Macaca fascicularis: one gene and its partners. The protein of the gene in region 3 interacts with the protein of the main gene of each other region in a pairwise test. Links are inferred from orthologs where the notes say so. Each region holds a gene or a part of one and is shown on either strand. Other genes may lie near its edges.

Evidence for each region.
Region 1: the proteins of RNF125 (region 3) and UBE2L3 interact in a two-hybrid assay, tested with the Homo sapiens proteins (2 studies listed by BioGRID and IntAct). The link is inferred for Macaca fascicularis from reciprocal best matches to the Homo sapiens genes RNF125 and UBE2L3.
Region 2: the proteins of RNF125 (region 3) and UBE2K interact in a two-hybrid assay, tested with the Homo sapiens proteins (2 studies listed by BioGRID and IntAct). The link is inferred for Macaca fascicularis from reciprocal best matches to the Homo sapiens genes RNF125 and UBE2K.

What each region holds. Positions count from the first base shown.
Region 1 is NC_088384.1:31,557,689-31,567,532, reverse strand, and holds the start of UBE2L3 (ubiquitin-conjugating enzyme E2 L3), read left to right. Parts: upstream 1-5,147; 5' UTR 5,148-5,173; coding exon 5,174-5,200; exon of another isoform or gene 5,201-5,726; intron 5,727-9,844. UniProt on the Homo sapiens protein: Ubiquitin-conjugating enzyme E2 that specifically acts with HECT-type and RBR family E3 ubiquitin-protein ligases.
Region 2 is NC_088379.1:38,997,115-39,007,102, forward strand, and holds the start of UBE2K (ubiquitin-conjugating enzyme E2 K), read left to right. Parts: upstream 1-3,509; 5' UTR 3,510-3,524; coding exon 3,525-3,598; intron 3,599-9,988. UniProt on the Homo sapiens protein: Accepts ubiquitin from the E1 complex and catalyzes its covalent attachment to other proteins. In vitro, in the presence or in the absence of BRCA1-BARD1 E3 ubiquitin-protein ligase complex, catalyzes the synthesis of 'Lys-48'-linked polyubiquitin chains.
Region 3 is NC_088392.1:57,850,233-57,860,114, forward strand, and holds the start of RNF125 (E3 ubiquitin-protein ligase RNF125), read right to left. Parts: upstream 4,729-9,882; 5' UTR 4,690-4,728; coding exon 4,526-4,689; intron 1-4,525. UniProt on the Homo sapiens protein: E3 ubiquitin-protein ligase that mediates ubiquitination and subsequent proteasomal degradation of target proteins, such as RIGI, MAVS/IPS1, IFIH1/MDA5, JAK1 and p53/TP53.

The DNA of each region.
Region 1 (9,844 bases), on a different chromosome or scaffold from region 3:
GTAGAGCGATCTTGGCTCACTGTAACCTCTGTCTCCTGGATTCAAGCGATTCTTCTGCCTCAGCCTCCCAAGTAGTTGGGATTACAGGTGTGTGCCACCACGCCTGGCTAATTTTTGTATTTTTGGCAGTGGCGGGGTTTCACCACATTGGCCAGGCTGGTCTCAAACTCCTGACCTCAGGCAATCCGCCCACCTTGGCCTCCCAAAGTGCTGAGATTACAGGCATGAGCCACCAATCCCAGCCTGGATCTATTTCAATCACCCTCCTTCCTCTGCAGTCTGAAGCTTGAGGCTTTGCCCACTTCCCAAAGGCACCAGTAGCAATGACCATTTGTTCTGTCATTTGGCCATAGCTCTAGGTCAGAGGACCGTCCTTCATCAAATGTTTATTAAGCATCCAATCTGGCCAGGGGATTACAAGGGCTAGTAATGTGCTAATTTCTTCATTCACCAAGCGCAGAGAACGGAGTAGAAGGAAGGTGAAAAGGAGAAGGAAGGAAGGAAAAGCGAGAGGAAGAAGGATAGAAAGGAAGGAAGGTGGGAGGGAGAAAGGAAAGAAAGAGGGAGTCCTTTAGGTTATCTAAGCCCCTCAGGACTTGGTCTGGTCCTCACAGTCCAAGAACAGACTTGGGCTTCAGCCTCTGACCAGTCAGATGACTGAGAAGTTGAGGAACAGCTTGAGCCTCAGTTTTTTCCTCTGTAAATGGGGTTGATAGCAGTTCTGACCCAGAGGGCTATAGCAATTCTGACCCAGAGAGCCCCCCAACAGAGGGCTGTTGGGGAAGTCACAGAGATGCTGGGTGTTGCCTTTGCACTCAAAAGCGTCCAGGCCAGCTGTGGTGGCTCACACCTGTAATCCCAGTACTTTGGGAGGCTGAGGTGGGAGAATCTCTTGAGTCCATGAGTTAGAGACCAGCCTGGGCAATATGGAGACAATCTGTCTCTACAATTTTTTTTTTTTTTCCAAAAAGTAGCCAGGCATGGAGGTGTGCACCTGTAGTTCTGGGAGTCTGAAGTGGGAGGATAACTTCAGTACAGGAGGTTGAGGCTGCACTGAGCCATGATCACACCACTGTACTCCAGCCTGGGTGACAGAGCCAGACTCTATCTCAAAAAAAAAAAAAAAAAATTCAAAAGGGTCCAGTATGCATCTTACTGTCAGCTTACCCAAGGGAGCATGATAAATTGAGTCCCTGACATGTGGACATGGGGAGTATAGGGGGAGGGAATGGCAAAGGCACCACAGGCAGAAGGACCAGTCTGGGCATGGTGGGGGGCGTGATGTGGCACAGCACTGATTGTGGGAAGCAAGGGATGTGGGAGATGAGGCTTCAGGTTGTCAGAGGGAGGTTGAGGCAGAGCCTCACCTGCATACTCTAGACAGGGTCCAACTCCTGATACCCAGCTTCCTAGCCCAGTGACGGGCCACTTCTCTCAGGGCCACAGTTTTCTCTCCTATCAAATAGAACATCTCAGCACTGCTCTGTGGTGCCAGTGAAGGGTATAAGTGTCCGGTGCCCAGCTGGCCATTTCCTGCCCCAGCAGAGGCATTTGCTTTTCCTTGTCCTCTTGCCTACTGGGAATTCCTTCCATCCCCGGTTCCTCCACCAGCTTCTGTGAGGCCCCTCCTATGAGCCCCCACACCTCACTAAACCCTCAACACCCTCTGGTGTTTTCCTTGGTGCCTCCTCAGGATGCTGCGAGCTCCTTGGGGGCAGGTGGTGCCTGTGTATCTCTCTTTTTTTTTTTGAGACGGAGTCTCGCTCTGTCGCCCAGGCTGGAGTGCAGTGGCACAATCTCAGCTCATTGCAAGCTCTGCCTCCCGGGTTAATGCCATTCTCCTGCCTCAGCCTCGGGAGTAGCTGGTACTATAGAGGCCCGTCACCGCGTCCGGCTTTTTTATTTTTTTGTATTTTTAGTAGAGACGGGTTTTATTGTGGTCTCAATCTCCTGACCTTGTGATCCACCCGCCTAGGCCTCCCAAAGTGCTGAGATTACAGGTGTGAGCCACCACGCACGGTCCTGAGTATCTCTTTTTCTGGACCTGGGCCCAAGGCCTAATAGATGAGTGCCCAGGACTCCATGCTGACTGGAGGAAGGAACAGCATGTGGTCAATGTGAGCAGAAGGGCCGGTAGTCCAGGAGGAAAAAGCAGTCACTTCTTTTTAAAAAAATTTATTACTTTTTTTTTTTATTTTGAGATGGAGTCTCACTCTGTCAGCCAGGCTGAAGTGCAATGGCATGATCTTGGTTCACTGCAACCTCCACCTCCTGGGTTTGAGCGATTCTCCCACCTCAGCCTCCCAAGTAGCTGGGACTATAGGTGCGTGCCACCACACCCGGCTAATTTTTGTATTTTTAGTAGAGACAGGGTTTCACTATGTTGGCCAGGCTGGTCTTGAACTCCTGACCTTGTGATCTGCCTGCCTTGGCTTCCCAAAGTGCTGAGATTACAGGCATGAGCCACTGCGCCTGGCCTATTTATTTTTGTAGATATGGTGGTCTTGCTCTGTTGCCCAGGCCAGTCTCGAATTCCTGGCCTCAAGTAATCCTCCCGCCTCAGCCTCCTAAATTGCTGGGATTATAGGTGTGAGACTGTGCCCAGCCAAAAGAGTCCACTTCTTTTTTTCTTTTCTTTTCTTTCTTTCTTATTTATTTATTTATTTATTTATTTTTTTGAGACATGGTCTTACTCTTTCACTCAGGCTTGAGTGCAGTGGCACAATCATGGCCCACTGCGGCGTCAATGGCGTCAATCTCACAGGCTCAAGTGATCCTCTCACCCCAGCCTCCCAAATAGCTAGAATTACTTGGCCATCACACCTGGCTAATTTTTTTCATTTTTATTTTTTGTAGAGCTGGGGTCTCCCTGTGTTGCCCAGGCTGGTCTCAAACTCTTGGGCTCAAGCAATCCTCCTGCCCTGGCCTTCCCAAGTGCTAGGGTTACAGGCATGAGTCACCATGAGGTTACTTCTGATGGGAGGCTTGGGGAGATGGCACAGAAAGGATAGGTGTGTATGAACAGGGTTTGGCTGAGTGGAGGGGATTGGGTATGACTAGAAGTCACGCCTACTAGAGGGAGGAATGAAGGTTTTAGAACGAGAGAGGGGCCCCAAAGGCCAGGCCGCCCTTCCACTGGGACTGGGTACATTTCCTGAGTGCTTGTTTAGCAAAAGCACTTTGCAGCTCAGCGGCTTGGCTCCCCACTTGCAAAGTGCAAGAGAGTCATCTTGCAGGCAGCGGTGAGGATGTAAGAAGATGCCATGGTAAAGGCTAGTCCTTGACATTGAGCCTCTGATGATCCCACTCTCTATTCTCAGCTTAGCACATCGGGTCAAAGGTATGAATTGTGCTTCCTCATCTGGCTTGGAATTTCTCAGAGTAAGGGTCCCTTTCCTCTGTAATTCTCCACAGAGGAAAGCAGTTCTCAATAAAGCTATGTTTTTCCTTTGTCCTGGGCTCAGTAAGGGCAGGCCCGGTGCTCACAGTAGACCCCAGAGTCAGTCCCAGGCTTCCAAGTCCACCATGACCCTAGGGAGCTGATGGGGTCCCTCATACATACGCTGAATGTGTATTGAACTTCCAGTGTACTGGCCTTGGGGGAGGTAAAAGGCAGGCAGAATGGCTGCTCACATGAGGCTTGTCATCTAGTTTCTCCCTCCTTTCCTGTGTCAAGCCTGGGGTCCCAAGATGAGTGTGAGGCCAGCCTTATTCCAGGATATATTATTTCCAGTTCCCTTTCCTTCTCTCCTTTCAGGGGAAACCCACTGTTCTTTTTTTTTTTTTTTTTTTTTTTGAGACGGAGTCTCGCTGTGTCTCCCAGGCTGGAGTGCAGTGGCGTGATCTCGGCTCACTGCAAGCTCCGCCTCCCGGGTTCATGCCATTCTCCCGCCTCAGCCTCCCGAGTAGCTGAGACTACAGGCACCCGCCACCACGCCCGGCTAGTTTTTTGTATTTTTAGTAGAGACGGGGTTTCACCGTGTTAGCCAGGATAGTCTCGATCTCCTGACCTCGTGATCCACCCGCCTCGGCCTCCCAAAGTGCTGGGATTACAGGCTTGAGCCACCGCGCCCGGCCGAAACCCACTGTTCTTAGAAATGGAGAAAAATGTCCAAGCCCAGTGACTCACACCTATAATCCCAGCACTTTGGGAGGCCAAGGTGGGTGGATTGCTTGAGGTCAGCAGTTTGAGACCAGCCTGGCCAAAAATGCTAAAACCCTGTCTCTACCGAAAATACAAAAATTAGCTGGGCATGGTGGCAGGTGCCTGTAATCTATGCTACTCAAGAGGCTGAGGCAGGAGAATCACTTGAACCTGGGATTCAGAGGTTGCAGTGAGCTGAGATCATGCCATTGCACTCCACTCTGGGTGACAGAGTGAAACTGTGTCTCAAAAAAAAAAAAAAAAAAAAAAAAAAGAGAACTCCTTAAGAAGGTCTGAGTATATTCTGAAGCTATGTTCTTCTCTCTTCTTTGCTCCCTGAGGTCCAAACCAGTGTCACCTCTTTGCCTGAACGATTGCAACAGGTTTCCAAGTGGCCCCTGCTCCCCTTCTTATCCTCTTACCCACCTCCATTCCCCATTCCAATCAGAGTACTTTTTTTTTTTTTTTTTAAGACGGAATCTCTGTCGCCCAGGCTGGAGTGCAGTGGCGTGGTCTCGGCTCACTGCAACCTCTGCCTCCCAGGTTCAAGCAATTCTCCTGCCTCAGCCTCCTGAGTAGCTGAGATTACAGACGCCCGCCACCACGCCCGGCTAATTTTTTGTATTTTTAGTAGAGCCACGGTTTCACCACTTTGGCCAGGCTGGTCTGGAACTGCTGACCTCGTGATCTACCCGCCTCGGTCTCCCAAAGTGCTGGGATTACAGGCGTGAGCCACCGCGCCCGGCCAACTATTTTATGCAATCAATATTTATTATTTGCCTACTACGTGCCAGGCACTGGTTGTAACTGTCATCTGATTGGACGATCCGTAAACGCTGCGGCTCAGCCTGTGCGGTTCACTTGTGTTCCTCCACGCGCCTCCGAGCACGCTGGGAAGCATACAGTAGGTGCTCTGCTCCGCTCCTGTGCCCCGCCCCGCGGCCCCTCCCCCGCTCCAGGAAGTGCGGGGGCTCCAGCCGCCCGGCCGGCCGCGATGCATTCTGGGGAAGGAGCAGCACCAAATCCAAGATGGCGGCCAGCAGGAGGCTGATGAAGGTAAAAGCCATTCTCTGGCCTCGGTCGGGCGTGGGGCGGCGTCCCAGGCTCCGGACCCCCGAGGCAGGCAGCGGCCTCTCAGGGCGCTGCCGTCTGGCCTCCTGCCCTACACGGCCTCGTCGGTTCCCTGGGCCGCGCGCAGGCTCAAGGAGCTAACGGGGCTGGCCTAGGCCGCAGCCTGGGCGGGAGCGCCAGGCCGCGCTGGGAGCCACTGTTGGCCCCTCAGCCCGGCCCGGGGCGTTCACGCCACCCTCCGCCCGGAGCGTGGCCGCGTCCCCCTGTCGCGGAGGCCGCGGTCCGACGCGAGGGCGTCGTTAATGTGAGAGCCCGGTTGGGAGGCTCCAAACTGAGCGCCTTCGGGGAAGGCCCGAGCGCCGGAGCCCCTGCCCGGAGCCCGTGCAGCGGAACCGCCCCGCCCTGGGCCTCAGCGAGCCGGGCTTGCAGCTCCGCTTGGCCCAGCCGCAGCTCGGAACTCTGGAAGGCTCGGGCTAGGAGAGCGGGGAGGAGGCCAGGCGGCCAAAGTTAGGTCAGTTTGTTGGTGGGTCGTTTGGAATTGCGCTGGGTCCTAGCAAACTGTCGCCTTGTGACTGCAGAGTCACACAGCGGGCAAGTTCCAACTCCAGGAAGGCCTGAGGTCGGCCCCCATCGCGGCGCGGTTCTCCTTCCCTCTCCTCCACTCAGTCATCTCGATCTCCCTTCCCTGATAAAGCAAAATGCCATTTTTTGGGGGGTAACGGTTGGTTTCAGTCGTTCGAATCAAAACGGGCCAAAGTTTATAATAATAACTTGGTACTTTGGATCTTGAATGCAGCAGGGTGCTTTCTTGCTACTTGGCACCTTTTAGTGAGGAACACATTAGCTAAATTGGCTTAGTTCTTTTGCCAGTGGATTTGCCAACGTCCTCCGGAGTCCCCTCCGCCAGCGTCTGTGAGTCGGCGGCTGGCTAGTGCAGCCGGCCTGCAACGGGCCGGAAATTAAAAAAAGGCCCCGGAGCCGGTTTCCTGAGGGGAGATAAAGAGCTGGGGTTCGTTCTGGGCAGAGCAGTGTTTGGTAGAACTAGACATTGAACTTGGAGCCACAGTCTCTGAGCCCTCCCTGCCTCCCTGGGAACGTTTCCTTTCTTTTGTTCCCTAAGGGCTAGAGAGGACATTAACTTTATAAAACTGGAGTGGAAGTGGGCACAAAAGAAAACTCAGAGGACTTCTGACTTCTCATCTCTTAAGCTAGTGACACCACCATTCACCAGATAAGGGGTCGGTTAATGGCTTTCTTTCCTACCCTACTCCCAGGTGCAGTCGTCCTTCAACCCTTGTGGATTTAAATTTAGAAAGTTTTCTGGAGTGCAGGCCGGGCGCGGTGGCTCACGCCTGTAATCCCAGCACTCTGGGAGGCCGAGGCGGGCGGATCACTTGAGGTCAGGAGTTCAAGACCAGCCCGGCCAACATGGTGAACTCCTGTCTCTACTAAAAATATAAAAATTAGCTGGGCGTGGTCGCATTCGCCTGTAATCTCAGCTACCCGGGAGGCTGAAGTGGGAGAATCGTTTGAACCTGGCAGGTGGAGGTTGCAGTGAGCCAAGTTTGCGCCACTGCACTCCAGCCAGGGCGACAGAGTGAGACTCCATCTCAAAAACAAACAAAAAAAAAGATTTCTGAAGTGCATGACTTGCTTTCTAATGTTACTGAAATTACTCTGAATCTGTATCCTCATCTCTTGGGTGCCCTCCGGAGTGCTCTCCTCCCCAGACTACCCCTCACGGACACCAGAGTTCTTTTAAGGCAGATAACTCAATTCTTTTCACTCCTGTTAAAAATGTCTATGGTCTTATTGTCCTCAGCAGTTAATCCTAACCTCTTACTTGGCATGCAAGACCTTTCTGAGACTGACGGAAAGCAATCAGTTGAGCCTCACCTCCTGCCCTTTGGTTTCCCACCATTCTTGCACCTAATCGCAGTAGCTACTATTTTTCCAGCTTTTACTTCGTGCTTTATATGCATGATCATGTTTAATCCTTCCTGTGAAGTAGACATTGTGATTTCCATTTTGTCGATGAGAAAAGATTATTTGGCTTGCCCTGGGTTACCTAGCTAGGGAGAGTGAGCTGTGATCGAACTGGGTTCTTTCTCCAAAGCAAAGTCTCCTGCTCTTACTTGCCCTCTGGTGTCTCTTTGCACGTGTCGTTTGCTCTGCCCCAAAAAAGTTGCCTTCTCCTCACTTCTGCCTTCCAGAGAAGTCCCAGGTTCAACTCCAATGCCAACTGCTCTGTGAGCCCCTGCTTCACATCCCCCTTCAGAATGAGTTGTTTCCTCCTCTGTGTGACCACAGCACTTTATGTTTCTCTTTGAGCACTTGTCACAATCTCTTTGTGTTACAGACTTGTCTTTCCTGTACTGGGTTCTGAGATCCCGAAGGGCAGGGATCTTGACCTAATTCATCCTGGAAGCCCCCTAGCCTATCCCAGTTGACCCAGTTTGGAATCCCCAGGCTCTCAGGGGTCTAAGAGGGGACTTATTACGGGTTTAAAATTATTACTCTGTTTCTAAAAAAATAGACCTTGGAAAAGAATTTGTAACATTAACTGAGTATTTATTAAATATTAGGTTATTTACATAAGTTATCTTTTCAACACTCCAAGTTAGTGTATTGTCGTTTTTATGTTTTTACAAATGAGGACATTGTGAGGTTAACTAGGTTAAGGGAGTTACCTAAGGTAGAATCGTAGAATGTGGTGGGGAGGGAGAAGACACTGACTCTTCCTGTCTTTAGGACCCAAATTCCATGCCTCTTGTCAGGCTGTCTTTCTTACTCAAAGGCTGCATGGAGCGGTGTGTTGTTTCTTAAGTTGAGGATGGAAAGGCTTTCAGTTCACTAGGGGAACGCCAGTTATGTAATGCTGATCATTGGCTGTGAGAGTCAATGTTTAAGACTGGGTAGTTGTTTTTTTTTTTTTTTAAAGAAGAAAAATTATTGATACAAGTTCATCAACAGTCTTTTCAGTACATGGGGTGGAAATAAAGTGATTTTCGTTGGTGAAAAATTGGGACTTAGTGCATAGAACAGTGCCTTAGGCATAGCAATCTAGCAAATGTTGAATGATCAAATTAATTACATCTTTTTTTTTTTTTTTGAGACGGGGTCTCGCTCAGTAGCCCAGGCTGGAGTGCAGTGGCCAGATCTCAGCTCACTGCAAGCTCCGCCTCCCGGGTTCACGCCATTCTCTGGCCTCAGCCTCCCGAGGAGCTGGGACTACAGGCGCCTGCCACCTCGCCCAGCTAGTTTTTTGTATTTCTTAGTAGAGACGGGGTTTCACCGTGTTAGACAGGATGGTCTCGATCTCCTGACCTCGTGATCCACCCGTCTCGGCCTCCCGAAGTGCTGGGATTATAGGCTTGAGCCACCGCGCCCGGCCAAATTAATTATATCTTAAAGAACTTTAGATTTCTGTTAAAAATGTTTTCTAGGACATTCCACAGCAAAGATTTCTTTGTAACAATGGACTGCAGATAGTGTAAAACACATTATTAAAAGTAGAGTGATTTGCATATACTACACTGAGAAGTTATCTTAGGCAAAGTGAGTATGATAAAGTCTTTTATTTCAAAAGCATTTGCCAAGAGGATTAACCTCTTTTAGAACCCTTTTTAGGAATTATAGTGTTAATAAAACATTAAGTACATTTTAATTTGCAAGCAGCTAATTTAGCATTGTTGGCCACAACCAGATTGTAACCATTGCTTCAATCAGGATGGGGAAATTGCTACAAAAGCCAAAAGTGAAACCTTTATGTGTGGCTTAGGCAACTGATTGGCATCTGATCATTTCTTTGCAGCTTCACACTGCACACACTTCCCCCAAGGGCCCATTGAGTAGCTTCCCAGAAGGGCTTTTCTCAGAAGGGAAATCTGTGGATTTAGAGGGGTGTGTGTGTAACATCTTATTACTTATCATGATGTAACTGTTGAGTTAAGGAGTTTCGCTCTTGTTACCCAGGCTGGAGTGCAATGGCATGATCTCTGTGCACTACAACCTCTGCCTCTCAGGTTCAAGTGATTCTCCTGCCTCAGCCTCCCAAGTAGCTGGGACTATAGGTGTGCACCACCATTCCCTGCTAATTTTGTATTAGAGAGGGGGTTTCACCATGTTGGCCAGACTGGTCTTGAACTCCTAACCTCAGGTGATCTGCCTGCCAAGGCCTCCCGAAGTGCTGGGATTATAGGTGTGAGCCACTGTGCCCGGCCTAATGCTATTTAAAAATGTTCACTCAGAACTTCATATTGTTATTCTTTCTCTCAGTCCATAGTCATAGTAGGAGGAGCCTATAAAAGTTCATTCCTTGGGTTTCGTTGTATTAAGCAGTGAGGTAGTTTGCTTTTGAGTATAGGTTTAGATTCTGAGGTTGGGTAATTAAGAAGATAGAGCAATGAGTGTGTCTAGTAGTTGTGTCACATGTGTCAGGAGTTGAGGGGAGTTTTATATGTGATGTTATGCCAGTGTAAATGTCCTGAATCCACTGAGGCTTTGTGAATTGAGAAAAACGTTGCATCTTTTAGTCTAAATTCATGCATTCCAGTAAGTTGGGACTGTTTCAGCCTCCCTTAATGATATTCTTTGTAAATGTTTGGGACAGGTGATGGGAAGGAGTAT
Region 2 (9,988 bases), on a different chromosome or scaffold from region 3:
TTTTTATTTTTAGTAGAGACAGGGTTTCACCATGTTGGCCAGGCTGCTCTGACAAAACTCTTAATAGAGTATTTATGGGCCAGGTGGGGTGGCTTATGCCTGTAATCCAACATTTTAGGAGGCTGAGGCTCGATTGAGGCCAGGAGTTCAAGACCAGCCTGGGCAACATAGTGAGACTTTTGTTACTACTAACATTTTTAAAAAATCAGCCAGGCCTGGTGGTATGTGCCCATAGTGGCAGCTACTTGGGAGGCTGAGGCTGGAGGATGCTTGAGCCCATGAGGTCAAAGCTGCAGTGAATTGTGATCATGTGACCGCACTCTAGCCTGGGCAGCAGCGAGACTCTGTCTCAAAAATGAAAAAAGAAAATAATTCCTGGCTATTTGTTAATTATATAAGAACAACACAGCCAGGCGCAGTGGCTCACGCCTATAATCCCAGCACTTTGGGAGGCCGAGGCAGGTGGATCACGAGGTCAGGAGAGCGAGACCATCCTGGCCGACATGATGAAACCCCGTCTCTACTGAAAATACAAAAATTAGCTGGGCATGGTGGCATGGGCCTGTAGTCCCAGCTACTCAGGAGGCTGAGGAAGGAGAATTGCTTGAACCGGGGAGGTGGAGGTTGCAGTGAGCTGAGATGGCACCACTGCACTCCAACCTCGCAACAGAGCAAGGCTCTGTCTCCAAAAAAAAGAGAATACTTTGAGACTTAACTAACTGTATCAGATGTGTAAGATAATTTATCTAAAGAATAAATGGACCCGGACAGTAAAGACACAAAAAATATATACTGGCTTTGAATGTTTTATTTTTAAAACTTTTAAGTTTGTTCCCCCTTTTTGATGTTTTTCTGTTAAAATTTCTCCCTTTTGATTTTAATAAAAAGATAAAATTCTCTACCAAAAATAAATGTAACGAGAATTTGAACAGTTGTTTAAAACTAGAGGCAGGCTTGGTGGCTCACATCTGTAATGGCAGCACTTTGGGAGACTGAGGCAGGAGAATCGTTTGAGTCTGGGAGGTCAAGGCTGCAGTGAGCGGTGATTGTGCCACTGTACTCCAGCCTGGGTGACGGAGCAACACACTGTCTCCAAATAAAGAGTAGAAAAGTGGTTTTTAAAGTTTTTATTTTCATTTTATTTTTCAAAAGTGTTTTTGAAAGTTACGCAAGTTACAGTTTTATGTAATATTTAAATAGTATTTTTTATGGGTTCTGAAATGGGTTGAGCAGGGAAAGTCTATAGATTGGATTTTTAAAAAAATCAAAGTCTGTGCAGGTAATATGTTTGGGGTGAATTCCTTGTTTACACTGTTACAAAGACTTTGAGCTCTGTCCATTGGGCGTAGGTTTAGACACATCTGGGCTCCCCTAGCTTCTTCCCTTTTTATTTGTGTGTTTTGTTTGTTTGTTTGTTTATTTGTTTTGAGACAGAGTCTCACTGTCACCAAAGCTAGAATGCAGTGGCGTGATCACAGCTCACTGCAGCCTCTAACTCCCCAGGCTTAGGTGATCCTCCTACCTCAGCCTTCCAAGTAGCAGGGACTAAAGGCATCTGCCACCATGCCCAGCTAATTTTTGTAATTTTTTGTGGAGTCAAGGTTTCACCATGTTGCCCAGGCCGGTCTCGAACTCCTGGGCTCAAGTGATCCTCCCGCCTTGGCCACCTAAAATGCCGGAATTGCAGACGTGAGCCACTATGCTTGGCCTGTCATCCCTTCTTAAAAACTATACACTTTTTTTTTTTTTTTTTTGAGACAGAGTCTCGCTCTGTCGCCCAGGCTGGAGTGCAGTGGCCGGATCTCAGCCCACTGCAAGCTCCGCCTCCCGGGTTTACGCCATTCTCCTGCCTCAGCCTCCCAAGTAGCTGGGACTACAGGCGCCCGCCCCCTCGCCCGGCTAGTTTTTTGTATTTTTAGTAGAGACGGGGTTTCACCATGTTAGCCAGGATGGTCTCGATCTCCTGACCTTGTGATCCGCCCGTCTCGGCCTCCCGAAGTGCTGGGATTACAGGCTTGAGCCACCGCGCCCGGCCCACTTTTTTTTTTTTTTTTGAGACGGAGTCTCCGTCTGTCGCCCATGCTGGAGTACAATGGCGCAATCTTGGCTCGCTGCAACCTCTGCCTCCCGGGTTCAAGCAGTTCTCCTGTCTCAGCCTCCTGAGTAGCTGGGATTACAGGCATGTGCCACCATGCCTGAGGGTTTTTTGTTTTTTTTTTTTGGTATTTTTTGTATTTTTAGTAGAGACGGGTTTCACTATATTAGCCAGGCTGGTCTCGAACTCCTGACCTTGTGATTTTGCCGCCTTGGCCTCCCAAAGTGTTGGGATTACAGGCGTGAGCCACTGCACCTGGGCTTTTTTTTTTTTTTTTTTTTTTTTTTTTTTTTGAGACAGAGTCTCGCTCTGTCGTCCAGGCTGGAGTATGGTGGCACAATCTCAGCTCACCATGGTCTCTGCCTCCCGGGTTCAAGTGACCCTCGTGCCTCAGCCTCCTGAGTAGCTGGTATTACAGGTGCACCCTACCACGCCCAGTTAATGTTTTGTATTGTTAGTAGAGACAGGGTTTTACCATGTTGGCCAGGCTGGTCTTGAACCCCTGACCTCAAGTGATCCAACTGCCTCGGCCTCCCAAAGTGCTGGGATTACAGGCATGAGCCACCACTGCCCAGCCAAGACTATATACTCTTATTTCCCAGTGAATACATTATTGACAGTTTTTGAAAATACTGACTGTAGCCCCAAAAAGCTTAACTGGTTGGAGATACAGGGCAGACAAAGGATAGATAAAAATGGTAGGGGCAAAGAGTAAATGCTATGGGATTCTAAGGGTATCTGTATGAGTGAGATTCCTTTTTGTTGTTGTTTTGTTTTTGAGAAGGAGTCTCGGCTCTGTCACCCAGCCTGGAGTGCAGTGGCTTGATCTTGCTCACTGCAACCTTCGCCTCCCAGGTTCAACCAATGCCTCAGCCTCCGGAATGGCTGGAATCCCGGGATTACAGGCATGCGCCACCCTGCCCAGCTAATTTTTTTTTTTTTTTTTTTTTTTTTTTTGAGACAGAGTCTCGCTCTGTTGCTCAGGCTGGAGTGCAGTGGTGCGCAATCTCAGCTCACTGCAGGCTCCGCCTTCCGGGTTCACGCCATTCTCCTGCCTCAGCCTCCCGAGTAGCTGGGACTACAGGCACCCGCCACCAGGCCCGGCTAATTTGTTGTATTTTTTTAGTAGAGATGGGGTTTCACCATGTTGGCCAGGATGGTCTCGGTCTCCTGACCTCGTGATCAGCCTGCTTTGGCCTCCCAAAGTGCTGAGATTACAGGTGTGAGCCACCGCGCCCGGGCACTACACCCTGCTAATTTTTGTAGTTTTAATAGAGGCAGGGTTTCACTATATTGGCCAGGCTGGTCTCAAACTCCTGACCTCAGATGATCTGCCTGCCTCGGCCTCCCAAAGTGCTGGGCTTACATGGTGAGCCACCATGCCTGGCATGCCTGGACTTTTTTTTTTTTTTTTTTTTTTTTTTTTCAGATGGAATCTCGCTCTGTCACCCTGGCTGGAGTCCAGTTGCATGATCCAAGCTCTCTGCAGCCTCCGCCTCCCAGGTTAAGTGGTTCTCCTGCCTCAGCCTCCCAAGTAGCTGGGACTACAGGCGCACCCCACCATGCCCAACTAATTTTTTATATTGTTAGTAGAGACAGGGTTTTATGATGTCGGCCAGGCTGGTCTCAAACTCCTGACCTCAAGTGATCCACCTGCCTCGCTCTTCCAAAGTGATGAGATTACAAGTGTGAGCCACCATGCCCAGCCAAGACTATGTACTCTTATTTCCCAGTGAATACATTATTGATAGTTACTGAACATGTTGACCACAGCCCCAAAAGGCTTACTGGTTGGAGATACAGGACAGACAAAGGATAGATAAAAATGGGAGGGGCAAAGAGTAAATGCTATGGGATTCTGAGGGTATTTGAATGAGGGAGGTTCTTTTTTGTTTTTGTTTTGTTTTGAGTCAGAGTCTCTGTCGCCCAGCCTGGAGTACAGTGGCTTGATCTTGGCTCACTGCAACCTCCACCTCCTGGCTTCAAGTGATTCTCAGGCCTCAGCCTCCGGAATGGCTGGAATCACAGGCATGCGCCACCACACCTGGCTAATTTTTTGTATTTTTAGTAGAGACTGGATTTCACCATGTGGCCAGGCTGGTCTCACACTCCTGACCTCAAGTGATCTGGCTGTCTTGGCCTCCCAAAGTGCTGGGCTTACACGCATGAGCCACCCGACCTGGAGTTTTTTTGTTTTGTTTTGTTTGAGATGGAAACTCACTCTCACCCAGGCTGGAGTGCGGTGGCGTGATTTTGGCTCACTGCAGCTTCTGCTTCCCAGGTCAGGTAGTTCTACTGCTTGACCCAGTAGCTGGGATTATAGGCACGTGCCACCACACCCAGCTAATTTTCCTATTTTTAGTAGAGATGGGGTTTCTAGCCAGGCTGGTCTCGAACTCCTGACCTCAGGTGATCCGCCTGCCTTGGCTTCTGAAAGTGCTGGGATTACAGGCGTGAGCCATCGTGCCCGGGCTGTATGACTGTATGAGGGGGGTTCTTGAGCTAGGTGCTTTTTGTTGTTGTTGTTGTTGTTGAGACGGGGTCTCCCTCATTCGCCCAGGAGCACAGTCATAGCTCACTGCAGCCTTGACCTCCTGGGTTCTAGCAAGCCTTCCACCTCAGCCTCCCAAGTAGCTGGGTCTACAGGTACGTGCTGCCACACCCAGCTAGTTTTTACTTTTTGTAGAGATGGGGTCTCACTATGTTGCCCAGGCTGGTCTTGAACTCCTGGCTTCACACAGTCCTTCTGCCTCAGCTTCCCAACGTTCTGGGATTATAGGCATGAGCCACCTCACCCAGCCTTCTTGAGCTGAGGAAAGTTAAGACTGACCTCAAATTTCAGGAGACAGTCCCAAAGGAATTGTGGTAATATTGCGATTCTTTTTTTTTTCCCCCCCGAGACAGAGTTTTGCTCTTGTTGCCCAGGCTGGAGTGCAATGGCGCAATCTCGGCTCATTGCAACCTCTGTCTCCTGGGTTCAAGCGATTCTCCTGCCTCAGCCTCCTGAGTAGCTGGGATTACAGGCATGCACCACCAAGCTCAGCTAATTTTGTATTTTTAGTAGAGACCGAGTTTCTCCATGGTGGTCGATCAGGCTGTTCTTGAACTCCCGAACTCAGATGATCTGCCAGCGTTGGCCTCCCAAAGTGTTGGGATTGCAGGTGTGAGCCACCACGCCTGGCTGAAATTCTTAAGTAAATAAACTTTTCTCTAGGCACATGAATTGGAACTATGGAACAAAGAGATTATTGATGCACTTATTCAAGAAACACATTTACATATGTAGAACAGAAAGGTTGCACAGCTCTTATATACTCAAACATAGTTGTAGAGTTAGATCATGTTCTTAACTTTCTTCATAGTTACCTTTTGGGGAGGAAAACCACCCTTTTTCATATTAAAGTAAAACGTGTACATAATAAAGTGTGACTGGCATCCAAATCAAGAAACAGACCCTTCCCAGTACCATAGGAATCCTCCTTCCTTTCTAGTTACTTTCCTGACTTCTAATAACAGATTAGTTTTGAGTATGTTTGAGTAAAAGAACAGATGTGAGTATATGTTACGTATTTTAAGTTGGAAAGTTTTCAAAAGATGCTGTTCAAAATCTGTTAAGAAAAATATAGTGTCTTAGAAAATGTACTAAAATGTATTGAATTTCAGTGCTGAAATAGATCTAGGCCAAACTCCTCATCTATAAAATCAGGAAACTGAGGCCCAAGGAGGTTGATTGTTCCTCAGAGAAACAGCTGGTTAATGGTTGAACCCAGGCTTTTTGCATACCAGTTTAGTCATAATAAGTAGTTGGTTTGTGGGAATATCCTTTTCATAAACGATAGTGTAAAAGCTGACTGCTAATACAACTTTACAGAAGGAGATAACAATGCAGTATTATTTAAATGTGTCTTTTCTTTTCCCCCTCTTAGTATGAGAACTTAAACTTGCCAAGGAGGTAGAGATTTTTAACTCCTGAAGCATAATTTAGTGAAGTTAGCTTAGTAATTAAGAGCATGGGCTTTATAATTAGATTTGCTTTGAGTCCTGGCTTTTCTTCTTAAAACCTGAAGTACTGGCTCTGTATCTCGATTATCTTTATCTGTAAAAACTGTGGGAAGATTAAGAGTGTCTTTACAGTGCTTAGAATAACCTTGGGACATAATTAAACAGATAGCTGTTAGATGTCAGAAGTAGCTATGTTTTCATATTCTGTTGTGCTTATTGTTCTTGAATTATAAAGGTATTGTTCAATGGTTTAGTGATTACTGGATGTAAATATGCCTCAAGAAAAGCTCAATATGAGGGCTATGGTACTTCTAATAGTGTTTCTTTGTCACCTGTGTGCAAATAATCCATGGGGCTGGTAGCCAAGTAGTCCACCCTTATCTGCAGTTTCATTCTCTGCAGTTTCAGTTACCCACTGTCAACCATCGTCCAAAAATAAGTGAGTATAGTACAATAAGGTATTTGAGAGAGCACATTCACATAATTTTTATTACAGTATATTGTTATAATTACTCTATTCTATTATTGTTAATCTCTTACTGTGTTTAATTTATAAATTAAACCTTATCATAGGTATGTACATATAGGAAAAAACGTATAGGGTCAGTACTATCCGTGGTTTCAAGCATCCAATAGGGATCTTGGAGTGTGTCCCCTGTGGATAAGAGGGGATATATTAATACAGAGGAATATATGTGGGCTCTGTTCTCCAGATGTGATTTATTTAATCTTTCTTTAGGAGACAGTTATAAATTGGAGAAAAGTTTGTGTTAAAATGTTACCTTCCTGAATGAAAAAGTTTATTTGGGAAACTCTCAAATGATATAGAGATAATGGGATTATTTTGGATTTCTTGACATGGCTCTGGTTTCCTGAAACTAGAGCAAAGAATCTAGATTCTAATCCTATGGTATATAATCTTGGATCCCTTTGCAAATCTCTTCTTCAGTGGGCTTTGGGAACCAGAAAATAAGTGGTCTCATTCATCTGACATCCATGTTATTCTCTTATGTAAATCTGAAAAGGTGGGAGAACTTTATTTCACTGAAAATGCTTTTTAAAAAATTTTTTATTTTTTTAAGGCTAGTCCAACGAAGCAGTGGAAATGGAAAAGGAAAAAAGTCTGTAACTGGTTATGATCAATTAATTGTTAACACCACTGAAAAACCCTTTTTTCCTTTCTCTTCCCTTTAGTTCTTTGCTTTTACTCCAAATTTAGAATAACTGCCTACAGTTGAATGCCTACTGTCTGATTGATTGATTGATTTTAAGACACAAGGTCTTGCTCTGTTGCCCAAGTTGGAGTGCAGTGGCAGCAAAGCAAGACCTTACAGCTCGCTGTAACCTTGAACTCCTAGACTCAAGTGATCCTCCTGCCTCAGCCTTCCTAGTAGCCACCACACTTGGCTAAATTTTCTTTTTTTAAATATTTTGTGGAGTTGAGGGTCTCACTATATTGCCCAAGCCAGTGTCAGACTCCTGGACTCAAGCAGTCCTCCTGCCTCAGCCTCCCAAAGTCCTGGGATTACAGGCATGAGCTACTGCACCCTGCCTGTCTCACATTTTTTATATATGGCAGCTGTATGAGATTGATAGTATTCTTGTTTCACAGATCCAACAGTTGCAGCTGGGAAGAAATTAAGTAGCTTCCTCAGTATCAATGACTTGCTGGTGGGACAGAGGTTTGAAACCAGGTGTCTGCCTCCAAAATATTGGTGGTTTTGGTGGAAAGAGTTACACTCATATCTGCTGCTTGCTCCCTACATTTTTGAAGATTTTTTTGAAACTATGAAATACTTTATATTTAGAAGTTTTAAAAGTAATACATGAACATCTTTATATCTGTGGTCCATATTTAACAGATTGTAATCTTCTCATACTGTGGGCTAAATTGCCTCTACCCAAATACAGTAAAATATAGAGGTAGAGCTCATTGGATAACTTTTTTCTTATTCCATTTTTTCTTTCTAGGAGTATCTGCTATGTGAAGCTAGTGTATATTCTCCCCCTTCATATTTTGTTTTTACTGTTAAAGATAGTATCTCCTGAATTTAAAAATGAAATACTTTTTGCTTTTTTTAGAAGTTTTTTTTAAAAAAAGTTTTTATAGATGATTGTAATGTGCATCTCTTGGAAACTTTTTCTCTTAGCATTATTTTTTAAAGATCTGTGATAGTGCATGTTGTGCTAGTTCTTTATATTGTATTCCATGTCAGTTTTTAAAGTTAATTTTTCTATTGATGGCATTTAATTCCAACTTTTAGATAAAAGGATGTACTGTACATTTTTACAGTTTTTGGGGGGACATATAAGAGTTTTTCTTGGAAGTAGAATTGCAAGATCTGAGCATATTTTCAGCTTCTGCGTGACTGGATTTTGCTTCATTGTTCTCCAGATGATTGAATCAATTTACATTCCCACTAAAAGAGTTCTGGCCGGGTGCGGTGGCTTACTCCTGTAATCCCAGCACTTTGGGAGGCAGAAGCGGGCGGATCACCTGAGGTCAGGAGTTCCAGACCAGCCTGACCACCACGGAGAAACCCGGTCTCTACTAAAAATACAAAAAATTGCCGGGCGCGGTGGCTCAAGCCTGTAATCCCAGCACTTTGGGAGGCCGAGACGGGCGGATCACAAGGTCAGGAGATCGAGACCATCCTGGCTAACATGGTGAAACCCCGTCTCTACTAAAAATACAAAAAAACTAGCCGGGCGAGGTGGCGAGCGCCTGTAGTCCCAGCTACTCGGGAGGCTGAGGCAGGAGAATGGCGTAAACCCGGGAGGCGGAGCTTGCAGTGAGCTGAGATCCGGCCACTGCACTCCAGCCTGGGCGACAGAGCGAGACTCCGTCTCAAAAAAAAAAAAAAAAACAAAAAATTAGCCAGGCGTGGTGGTGCATGCCCATCCTGGGCAACAGAGGGAGACTCTGTCTCAAAAAAAAAAAAAAAGTCACTATTTTTTGTAAGACTATCTCCGGAAAAAAGGGGGGAAAAAAGTAGTTACTAGAACCCCCCTGTTTTTTTGGAGATGGAGTCTCACTCTTGCCCAGGCTGGAGTGCAATAGTGCTGACTACATTTTTTTTTTTATACTGAGTCTGGCTCCATCGCCCAGGCTCGAGTGCAGTGTTGCGATCTCAGCTCACTGCAAGCTCCGCCTCCCGGGTTCACGCCATTCTCCTGCCTCAGCCTACCAAGTAGCTGGGACCACAGGCACCCGTCACCACGCCCGGCCAATTTTGTGTGTGTGTGTGTGTTTTTTTTTTTTTTTTGAGACGGAGTCTCGCTCTGTCACCCAGGCTGGAGTGCAGTGGCCGGATCTCAGCTCACTGCGAGCTCCGCCTCCCGGGTTCACGTCATTCTCCAGCCTCAGCCTCCCGAGTAACTGGGACTACAGGCGCCCGCCACCTCGCCCGGCTGGTTTTTTGTGTTTTTTAGTAGAGATGGGGTTTCACCGTGTTAGCCAGGATGGTCTCGATCTCCTGACCTCGTGATCCGCCCGTCTCGGCCTCCCAAAGTGCTGGGATTACAGGCTTGAGCCACCGCGCCCGGCCTTGTGTTTGTTTTTTAAAGACGGGGTTTCTCCGTGTTAGCCAGGATGGTCTCACTTTCCTGACTTTGAGATCTGCCTGCCTCGGCCTCCCCAAAGTGCTGGGATTACAGGCGTGAGCCACTGCGCCCGGCCTACATTTTTAAGACTTAGGTTTTTGTCACTATGATGAATGTGAAATAGTGGTTTATTCTAATTTTTACTTCCCTAGTCAGTAGAGATATTAAGCATATTTTGTGTTTATTGGCCATTAGACTTTTGTAAATTTAGGTTTAGTTTTTTTTTTTTGTTTTTTTTTTTAAGATGAGACGGAGCCTCGCTCTGTCGCCCAGACTGGAGTGCAGTGG
Region 3 (9,882 bases):
TTAATTTTGTCCAGAAGTTATTTAAAGATTGTTTCAAATTGAAAGAATAAAAAAAGATATAGATAAAACTAAATGAATACAGAAAGTTGGAAATAGAAGAAAAATTCTAAGAGGTTATAAAAGATATGTAAATCTTACCTTGTGTGGTCAAAGCTGACTGAAATTAGATGGACTTGTTTATTAGGCTTTATTTAAATTAGCTTTATTATTGATATATTGATTCAAAAGTAAAATACGGTTTTCTCTTGAACAAGACTTTTGTGTATTAGAGATGGGGTCTCGCTATGTTGCCCAGGCTGGTCACAAACTGCTGGTCTCAAGTCATCCTCCTGCATCGGTCTTCCAAACTTCTGGGATTACAGGCATGAGCCACTGCACCCGGGCAAGTATACTTTTGTGAGCAAAATAATTTACCTTTTTCTCTTTGGATTGACAAACTGTTTTTTGCGTATTCTTATTTCATGGCAATATAGTTACATGCATAAGTTCAGTAACAATCTGAACAGGACATAATTGGAGACAGTGGTTATTTTCCCAAGGCTTTAACTGGAATGTCATACTTAGATACATGATCAAACTGCTTTGAGGGACTGAGATTGACATTAAAACACCAATAGACTTACAAAAAGATTGGCCTGGTACCCTGTGTATATAGTTCCCTTACAAAATTCCTGACCTTGCGGTATGTAAAGAATTGTCACTTTCTTGGCTGGGTGCAGTGGCTCACTCCTGTAATTCCAGCACTTTGGGAGGCCGAGGCAGGCAAATCACCTGAGCTCAGGGGTTCAAGACCAGCCTGGGCAAAATGGCGAAACCCTGCCCCTACAAAAAACACAAAAACTAGCTGGGCATGGTGGTGCGTGTCTTTAATCCCAGTTACTAGAGTGGCTGAGGCAGGAGAGTCACTTGAACCCGGGAGGCGGAGGTTGCAGTGAGCTGAGATCACGTCACTGCCCTCCAGCCTAGGCAATAGAGTGAGACTCCATCTCAAAATAAATAAATAAGTAAAAAATAGCCAGGCATGGTGGCAGGCACTTGTAGTCCCAGCTACGCGAGAGGCTGAGGCAGGAGGATTGCTGAGCCCAGGAGGTAGAGGCTGCAGTGAGCCATGATTGCACCACTACACTGTGACCTAGGTGACAGAGTGAGATCCCACCTCTAAAAATAAAGTAAAAAATAATAAAAGGAAATAAAGGAAATGTTAAAATGGGGGACTCAAGGAAACTGAAAGTATTTCACCCCAAAATGTACTTCTTTGATATATTCCCGCATACAGGAATAACCCTAAAAAGCTGCCTTTTGTGGCGGAGACTTGTATCTGTAGAGAAAATCTACACTGGTGAAATAAACAACCAGGCTTTCTTGGAGCCACCCCCTTATCCGTACCTAGGAAATTATTAACTGAAGGTCTGACACCTAGGAAGGTCTGACAGAGCAACTTAACACAGGCTCATGCCTATTCTTTCTAGGAGCTGCTATCTATGAAGTTTCATCTGCATAACTAGACCATCTTTGCCCCAGTCTCTTCTTTCTGTTGCCCTCCCATAACCATGTTCCAAGCCCCTATTCTGGTGTAACCTCAAGATGGTATAAAAGCATCAAGCATCTGGCCCTTTCAGTTTTCATAGTTTGATGACTCCCGTGCCCATATGCACATTAATACATTTGTAGGCCTTTCCTCCCCTGTTAATCTATTAGCAGTTTGTTTCATAGACTCAAGTGATCAAACCTTTAGGGGAAAAAAATCAAATTCAAATTTCCCTACAGTGGTCACACAGCTTGCTAGTGGCAGAGGGGAATTTCAAATCCAGCTTTCTATAAGGGCCAGTTACTACTGCATCACAATACAACTTATAAAGTGCTCTGTACATATTCAGTCAAGGTACTGCTGTTACTATTAAACTTGTTTGACTTGAAAATCAGCATAAACCACCTAGTTCAATATGTCTGAAACTGTAGCTTCAATATGGGATAATAAAATACAGAAGGTTCATTTGCATTTATTCATTTTCCAACTTAATTTCAATGGAAAAGAGTAATTCATTTAGAATGTACAAATGGCATTAACAACGCTCATAATCTCTACAGCAGAAAAGACTCTGGTTAACATTTATAAAGTGGAAGGGGCCCAAGTAAGTTTGCCAAAAGGAGGAATATGGAAATTCTGCCCACAGCTAGAACAATGGACATAGATTTGTCAAAACAAAGAACAGTAAAGAGAGGAAAGGCAATTTGTTCAGCCCTTGTAATGCTATTTTATGGTTATTTTTCCAGTTGCTAGTTTCCTATTCACTTTAACAAAGAAAAAGATTAAACAAAAAATTGAACATTTTGCAAACTTACATTATCCTTTAGTAGAAGGAAAAATATTGTAAATGGTAAGTTATACTATTCAAAGTCCAAAACAGGAAAACAATCTCCAGTCAGATAATTGAATTAGCAGCAAAGCGGTCTATTCCAAAAAGAATCTTCAAAATGCCCACTGTTTATGTTTTGCACAACTTCAAAGTTTTAAGGCTAATAATGATTCAATTTCAATGGAGGTATCTTTAGGCTGTTATTGCCCTAAAATAATCAATATATTTTATGACTCACACAGCCCATCTTGGCTTCCAGATTGGCCTGTGGATATTACGTTAATGAGCTACATCTGGACAGCTGAGCAACATTAGTAATCAGAAAGGAGGGTAAATTTAAGCCTCGAGTTTTAAGAACAAAGCTGAAACAACAGGCCTCGAAAATACAGCTACGAAATAATGCCCAAAGCACTCTTTATTTATACATTGTGCAGGCTGCACACTTTTTTCCCTGGCTCACAGGTTGGGCAGTGGTGAAAACTGCTTTTCAGATACAAGGCTATAGGTATTAAGGATCACCTAAGGATTCCAGGTGTGAGCCACCATGCCCGGCCTCAAAACTTCTGAATGCAAGTGCACAACATGTTTTTAAGGACTACCTAAATCCTTTCAAAAGTGATCCTCAGAAGCAATAATGCTATTTCTTTCTTCCTGCTAAGCCAAATGCATTTCTTTCTTCCTGCTAAGCCAAATACAAGTACATGCCACTGTGGTATCACACAGGGCTTCATCATACTATAGTCACCCTTCAAAGGACATTAAGTAGGCTTCCGCTTCTGATCCGTGCAGACACACACACACACACACATCCACGAACAAAATTCAAACCAAAGAGAGAAGGCTGGGTGCAGTGTCTCACACCTTTAATCCCAACACTTTGGGAGGCCGAGGTGGGTGGATCAATTGAGGTCAGGAGTTCAAGACCAGCCTGGCCAACATGGTGAAACCCCATCTCTACTCAAAATTCAAAAACTAGTAGGGTGTGGTCGTGGGCGCCTGTAATCCCAGCAACTCGGGAGGCTGAGGCAGGAGGATCACTTGAGGCGGGGAGACAGAGGTTGCAGTGGGTGGAGGTTGCAGTAAGCCGAGATCCTGCCACCGCCACCGCACTCCAGCCTGGGCGACAGAGTCAGACTATCTCTCTCTCTCTCTCTCTCTCTCATACACACACACACACACACACACACACACACAAAGTAAACAGCACGAATTCACAGATCCAACTTCACCAGTTACTCAAGCACACATTAAGCATGTGCCAATTTTATATAGGAACTTTGTTTTTAAACTCTTCTTAGAAACGACCACGGCTTTGCACCAACTGTGAGTTTTAGCTAAGTACTATGCCGTTTTGAGAAAGTTATTTTACTCTGTAATTTCTGCCGGTTTGGAGAGACGGCGTGTAAAGCAGGTAGTCTGTCACCTCCTGTCACGTTGTGGCTGGGTTTTGGAGGAGTACATTCAGGGGCTTGCGGCTAACGTCCAAGCCCCACCCTAGCAGGTTGTTAAACTCTAACGACTTGTGGAAAGTCACTCGGAAGCTCCAGTTTGACTTGCTCTTTGAGGGGATGGGTGTCTGTGTTGGGAAAGGGTAGCAGGGGTGGGGGTGGAAAAAACACTTTGCACAGATCCTTGTTTGCTTAAGACGAGCCTCTGTGGGCATTCTGGGAACACGTGCACAGCTCCAGCAAAACAAAACGGACCCGAGTTTCTGGGGCAGAGGGAAGCGCAGCCTGTTCCACCGTGTTCAGCGGGGTACCTGCGCTTTGAGGGAGCCCCTGCCTTGCAGTTGGAGCTCGTTTCTTTTTCGTGCCCGGGCGAGCGCTCGTTCTCCAGCCAAGAGCACCCTCCCCTGTTGGCGAGCCCTGGCTCTGGGCGGGACCCGTGCCTGGATCCCCTTCTCTGGAGCTCCGCACCTGGACTTCGGGAGGAGGCAGCGCAAGGGGGCTGCAGGGCCCGATTGTTTCTTTTTTCTCCTCCCGAAATCCTGTGTCACCTTCCGACCGGCGTTTTCCCCGTGGCCCCGCACCCGACGGGTCCAGGTTTCTCTCTGCAGCAGTTTCCTAAGGCGCTGTCTTCCGTCCCCCTCCTTCCCCACACCATGCCCTCAGCTTCCCGACATCGCCCTCCTTAGGGGTGGGCCCAAACCGAGCTCCCCTGGCACTTACACGTGGCCACAGCGGGTCCGGACAGGCTGGTGTAACACCTCAAGGCACACGGCGCAATCGAAGGACGTGACGGGCAACTCCGGGTCCCCCCTGCGCTCCAGGGCCCGCGGGGTGGCAGAGGGGGGAGCCGATTTGCCGCTGTCGCTGCTCAGCACGGAGCCCATCGCTGTGCCTCTCGCCCAGACAGCTGCCAAGCACTCAGTGCCTGCTGCAGGGTTGTTTTGTTGTCGTGCGGTGGAGGAAGGAAGTCCCGGCCCAGCTGCGATCGCCGCCTCCCAGCGCGCGCAGCTCGCGCAGCCAAGAAGCAACCTCCGCCGATGCGCCCAACCCTGGTCTAGGGCAGGGCGAGTGCGCGGCCGCGGGGCTGAAATCTTCGGCAAACCGCCTAGGTTAAGGCGCGGAGGCGGAGGCGGCAGCCGCCAGGTGCTTTGTCTTGTGGTATTGGGAGGATTGAAACCTGAAACCTCAACTGCAGAGAAGAGGACTTGAGGCAGTAGTAAACCTTCCAAGCTGTCACACACAGCCTCTTTCCCCACTGTCAGAAGTTAAGTGCGGGCGTGGCCATGCTTAATGGTAATCAGAGAACAGCCGCTTGTAAGGACCATCCTCCACTGTTGTAATCACAATAAGCTGCATTGAACTATGACCTATGATTGGACGTCTCCTAAGACGGTGCTATCATTACTCTGTCGTCCAATCAATAGTCCATTAATGGAGAGAGAGCCTGGGTAGTGGAAAGAGTTCTGGAGATTCAGATTCCAATCCTACCTCTCTTACAGATATTCTAGTGCTAAACCCTGCCGTCTCCAGTTTCCTCTGCGGCTCAGGATTTCCTCTGTTGTTTGTACTCTCCCCATCCCGCCCTTTAAATGTGATCAGCCGGGCGCGGTGGCTCACGCCTGTAATTCCAACACTTTGGGTAGGCCGAGGCAGGTGGATCGCTTGAGGTCAGGAGTTCGAGACCAGCCTGGCCAACATGATGAAACCCCGTCTCTGCTAACAATGCAAAAATTAGCCGGGCGTTAATTCACACTTTTTTCGAAGACTTATTTCGTGCCCACTGCACGCCAGACTCAGTTCTGGTGATGGAGACACAACTGTCAACAAGCAAACAAAATCCCAGTTCTCACAGAACTTACTTTAAAAAACAAAAACAAGGCTGGGCGCGGTGGCTCACGCCTGTAATCCCAGCACTTTGGGAGGCCGAGGCGGGCGGATCACAAGGTCAGGAGATCGAGACCACGGTGAAACCCCGTCTCTACTAAAAATACAAAAAATTAGCCGGGCGCGGTTGTGGGCGCCTGTAGTCCCAGCTCCTCGGGAGGCTGAGGCAGGAGAATGGCGTGAACCCGGGAGGCGGAGCTTGCAGTGAGCCGAGATCGCGCCACTGCACTCCAGCCTGGGCGACAGAGCGAGACTCCGTCTCAAAAAAAAACAAAAAACAAAAAACAAAACAAAACAAAAAAACAAAAAAACAAAAACAAAACTTTACTTTGAGGTAATTATAGATTTGCATACAGTTGTAAGAATAGTACATAGTATATAATACACATATACAATAATATATAATGTAACACATGGGATATAATAACGCATATAATACATGTATGTATTTAACAGGCCGTAAACTTCATCCAGTTTACCCCAGGCTTTACTTTTAATTAGGAGATATAGGCCGGGTACCGTGGCTCACGCCTGTAATTTCAGCACTTTGGGAGGCTGAGGTGGGAGGATCACTTGAGCACAGGAGCCAAGATCACGCTACTGCACTCCATCCTGTGCGACGGAGCGAGACCCTGTCTCAAAAAACAAACCAAGCCGGGGCAGTGGCTCACGCCTGTAATCCCAGCACTTTGGGAGGCCAAGGAGGACAGATCACCTGAGGTCAGGAGTTCGAGACCAGCCTGGCCAACATGGTGAAACCCTGTCTCTACTAAAAATACAAAGCTGGGTGTGAGCTACTTGGAAGGCTGAGGCACAAGAATTGCTTGAACCCGAAAGGTGGAGGCTGCAGTGAGCCGAGATCATGCCACTGTACTCCAGCCTGGGCAACAGACGGAGACCCTGTCTCAAAAAACCAAAAGAGGCTGGGCGCAGTGGCTCACGCCAAAGTGCTGTAATCCCAGCACTTTGGGAGGCGGAGGCAGGTGGATCACGAAGTCAGGAGTTCAAGACCAGCCTGGCTAACATAGTGAAACCCCGTCTCTACTAAAAATACAACATTTCTTTAGTAAAAATTTTTGTACTAAAAATACAAAAATTGGCCAGGTGTGGTGGCACATGCCTGTAGTCCCAGCTATTCGGGAGGCTGAGGCAGGAGAACCGCCTGAACCCAGGAGGTGGAGGTTGCAGTGAGCCGAGACCACGCCACTACACTCCAGCCTGGGTGACAGAGGGAGACTCTGTCTCAAAAACAAACAAACAACAAACAAACAAAAGGAAGATATGTATAATCAATCAATAAACAAATAAAATCATTTCAGATAATCAGAGCCATGAAGAAGATAAGACAGTAACTGACAATGAGGAGAAGAAGAAACTCAGAATAATTTTTGGATGAAGTGACATTTGAGCAGAGCCATGAATAATGAAAAGAAGTGAGCCGTTCAGAGATTTAGGAAAAAGTGTGGTAAGCGCTGGGAACAGTGAATGAGACAGGACCAAAGAAAGGAAAGACCTATGGAGCTGGAGCATTGGGTGGTGGGGGGCAGGCAGTGGGGGGAAATAAGATGAAAAGATAGTTATTCCTATCTTCAAAAGGAAAACAAAAACCTCCCTTTCATCCCACTTATGCCTCAACTCCTGCCCCATATCCCCTTCAAGGCCAAATCTCTTGATCTGATCCTCTACATTATGTCATCATTTCTTATTTATTCACTTCTTATTCAGTCCATTCTGAGTTCTGAGCCAACCTCTGCACCTCCATCTGTCCAAAAACTGCTTTATTATCAGTGTCACTGGTGACGTTCATGTAACTCATTCCAATAGATTCTTTTCAACTATTTTTGTGCTTGACCCCTCGACTATTTTTGTCAGTGCTGACCATCCCCTCCTGGAAGCACTCTGACTTTCCTTCTTTCTTTCTGGCTGTTGTTTCTCTCCTTTGCCAGAGTCTCCTCCACTGGCTCTGGGCTAGAGATCCTAGGATTCTGTCTTAGCACCTTTTCCCTTCTCCTCTCTGTCTCCCTCTCTCTTTCTCTCTCTCTCAAAAATCACACAGGTTCTGTCACTATTTTGGTTCCAAAGACTTTCACATCTTTATCTCCACCCCAGGCCATTCAAATGCCCAATAGCCCAATAGCTTACATGACTGACCATTTGACATAGACACCCTCAGCCCAATGTCTCCAATAATGAACTCATTATAGCAGCCACCACCTCACCTTCTCCAGTGGTTGATCTCTCTGTTAGCAAATGGCACTATGATCCATTTTATAGCTCAGTCTAGACACCTGGAAGTCATCCTTGATTTCCTCCTCTTATTCACATTGAATCAATCATAATCACAATCCTGCCTCCAATATGTATCTCAATAGTTATTTTTTTTTCTGAGATGAAGTCTGTCTCTGTCACCCAGGCTGGAGGAGTGCAATGGCAGGATCTCAGCTCACTGCAACCTTTGCCTCCTGGGTTCAAGTGATTCTCCTGCCTCAGCCTCCTGAGTAGCTGGGATTGCAGGCACATGCCACCACGCCCACCTAATTTTTTTGTATTTTTAGTGGAGACAGAGTTTCACCATGTTGGCCAGGCTAGTCTTGAACTCCTGACCTCAAGATCCGGCTGCCTTGGCCTCCCAAAGTGCTGGGATTACAGGTGTGAGCCACCATGCTCATTTTCTTCTATTTCCATAGCCACCGCTTATTTTAAATCACTGCATTCTCTTGCGCGACTTATGGCAATAGTTCCTAGCTGCCCTACCTGCATCCATCATTGCCTCTCTCCAGTTTATTATCCACATGGCCACTAAAGTGATCTTTCAAAAAGCAAACATCTTGTGTCACCCCATGCACAAAATCCTTTAATAGGTCTCCTAATCCTTAGGATTAAATTCCAAATCCTTAATATTATCTAAAAAGTCCTGCAAGAGGCCGGGCGCAGTGGCTCATCTCACTGCTGCAGTCTCAACCTCATGGGCTCAAACAGTCCTCCCACCTCAGCCTCCTGAGTAGCTAGGAGCACAGTCATGTGTCATCACACTCAGCTAACTTTTGTATTTTTTGTAGAGACAGTGTCCCAATATGCTGCCCAAGCTGGTCATGAACTCCTGGGCTCAAGCAATCCTCCTGCCTCGGTCTCTCAAAGTACTGGGATTATAGGCATGAGCCACCATGCCTGGCCTTGGAAACCTTTCCACATCACATTCATCTCATACTATCCTCTTAGTCTTCCATAGCCTGCTATATTTGCCTTCCTATTTATCCTGATAGTGGCTACTCTGAGGGCTAGAGGACCTGGCATGTGAGAGGTGACAAATATATTCACATTTATACATGTCTTTCAATAATTATCTCACAAGGTCAATATTATTATTCCCATTTTATATGCTCAGATTATTTAACTTAGCAAAAGTCACATAGGAAATAAGTTGTAGAACCAGATTTTAATTCTAGATTGTCTTTTATTTTTAAAAATCTATGCATTTTTTCACTAAGTCTCTGCTGTAGAGATGAGAAGCATAAAAATTCTTAGAAAATAATAAAACAGTATTCAACAAAATGAGGCAGGCAAATAGATATGGGAGGATAAAGCATCTGATATAATAAGATTCTTTTGTAGAAACGGGGTCTTGCTGGGTGCCGTGGCTCATGCCTGTAATCCCAACACTTTGAAAGGCCAGGGTGGGCAGATCACCTGAGGTCAGGAGTTCGAGACCAGCATGGCCAACATGGTGAAAACCTGTCTCTACTAATAATACAAAAAAATTAGCCAGGCATGGTGGTGCATGCCTATAATCCCAGCTACTCGGGAGGCTAAGGCAGGAGAATCACTTGAACCCGGGAGGCAGAGGTTGCAGTGAGCCGAGATCATGCCACTGCACTGCAGCCTGGGTGATAGAATGAGATTCCGTCTCAAATAAAAGAAAAAAAGAAACAGGGTCTTGCCATGTTGCCCAGGCTAGTCTTGAACTCCTGGAGGCAAGCAATCCTCTCTCCTCAGCCTTTCAAAGTGCTGGGATTATAGGCATGAGCCACCACACCAGACCAATAAGACTCCTAATAAATCAATCTTTCTTTCTTTCTTTCTTTTCTTTTTCTTTCTTTCTTTCTTTCTTTCTTTCTTTCTTTCTTTCTTTCTTTCTTTCTTTCTTTCTTTCTTTCTTTCTTTCTCTTTCTCTCTTTCTTTCTCTCTTTCTTTCT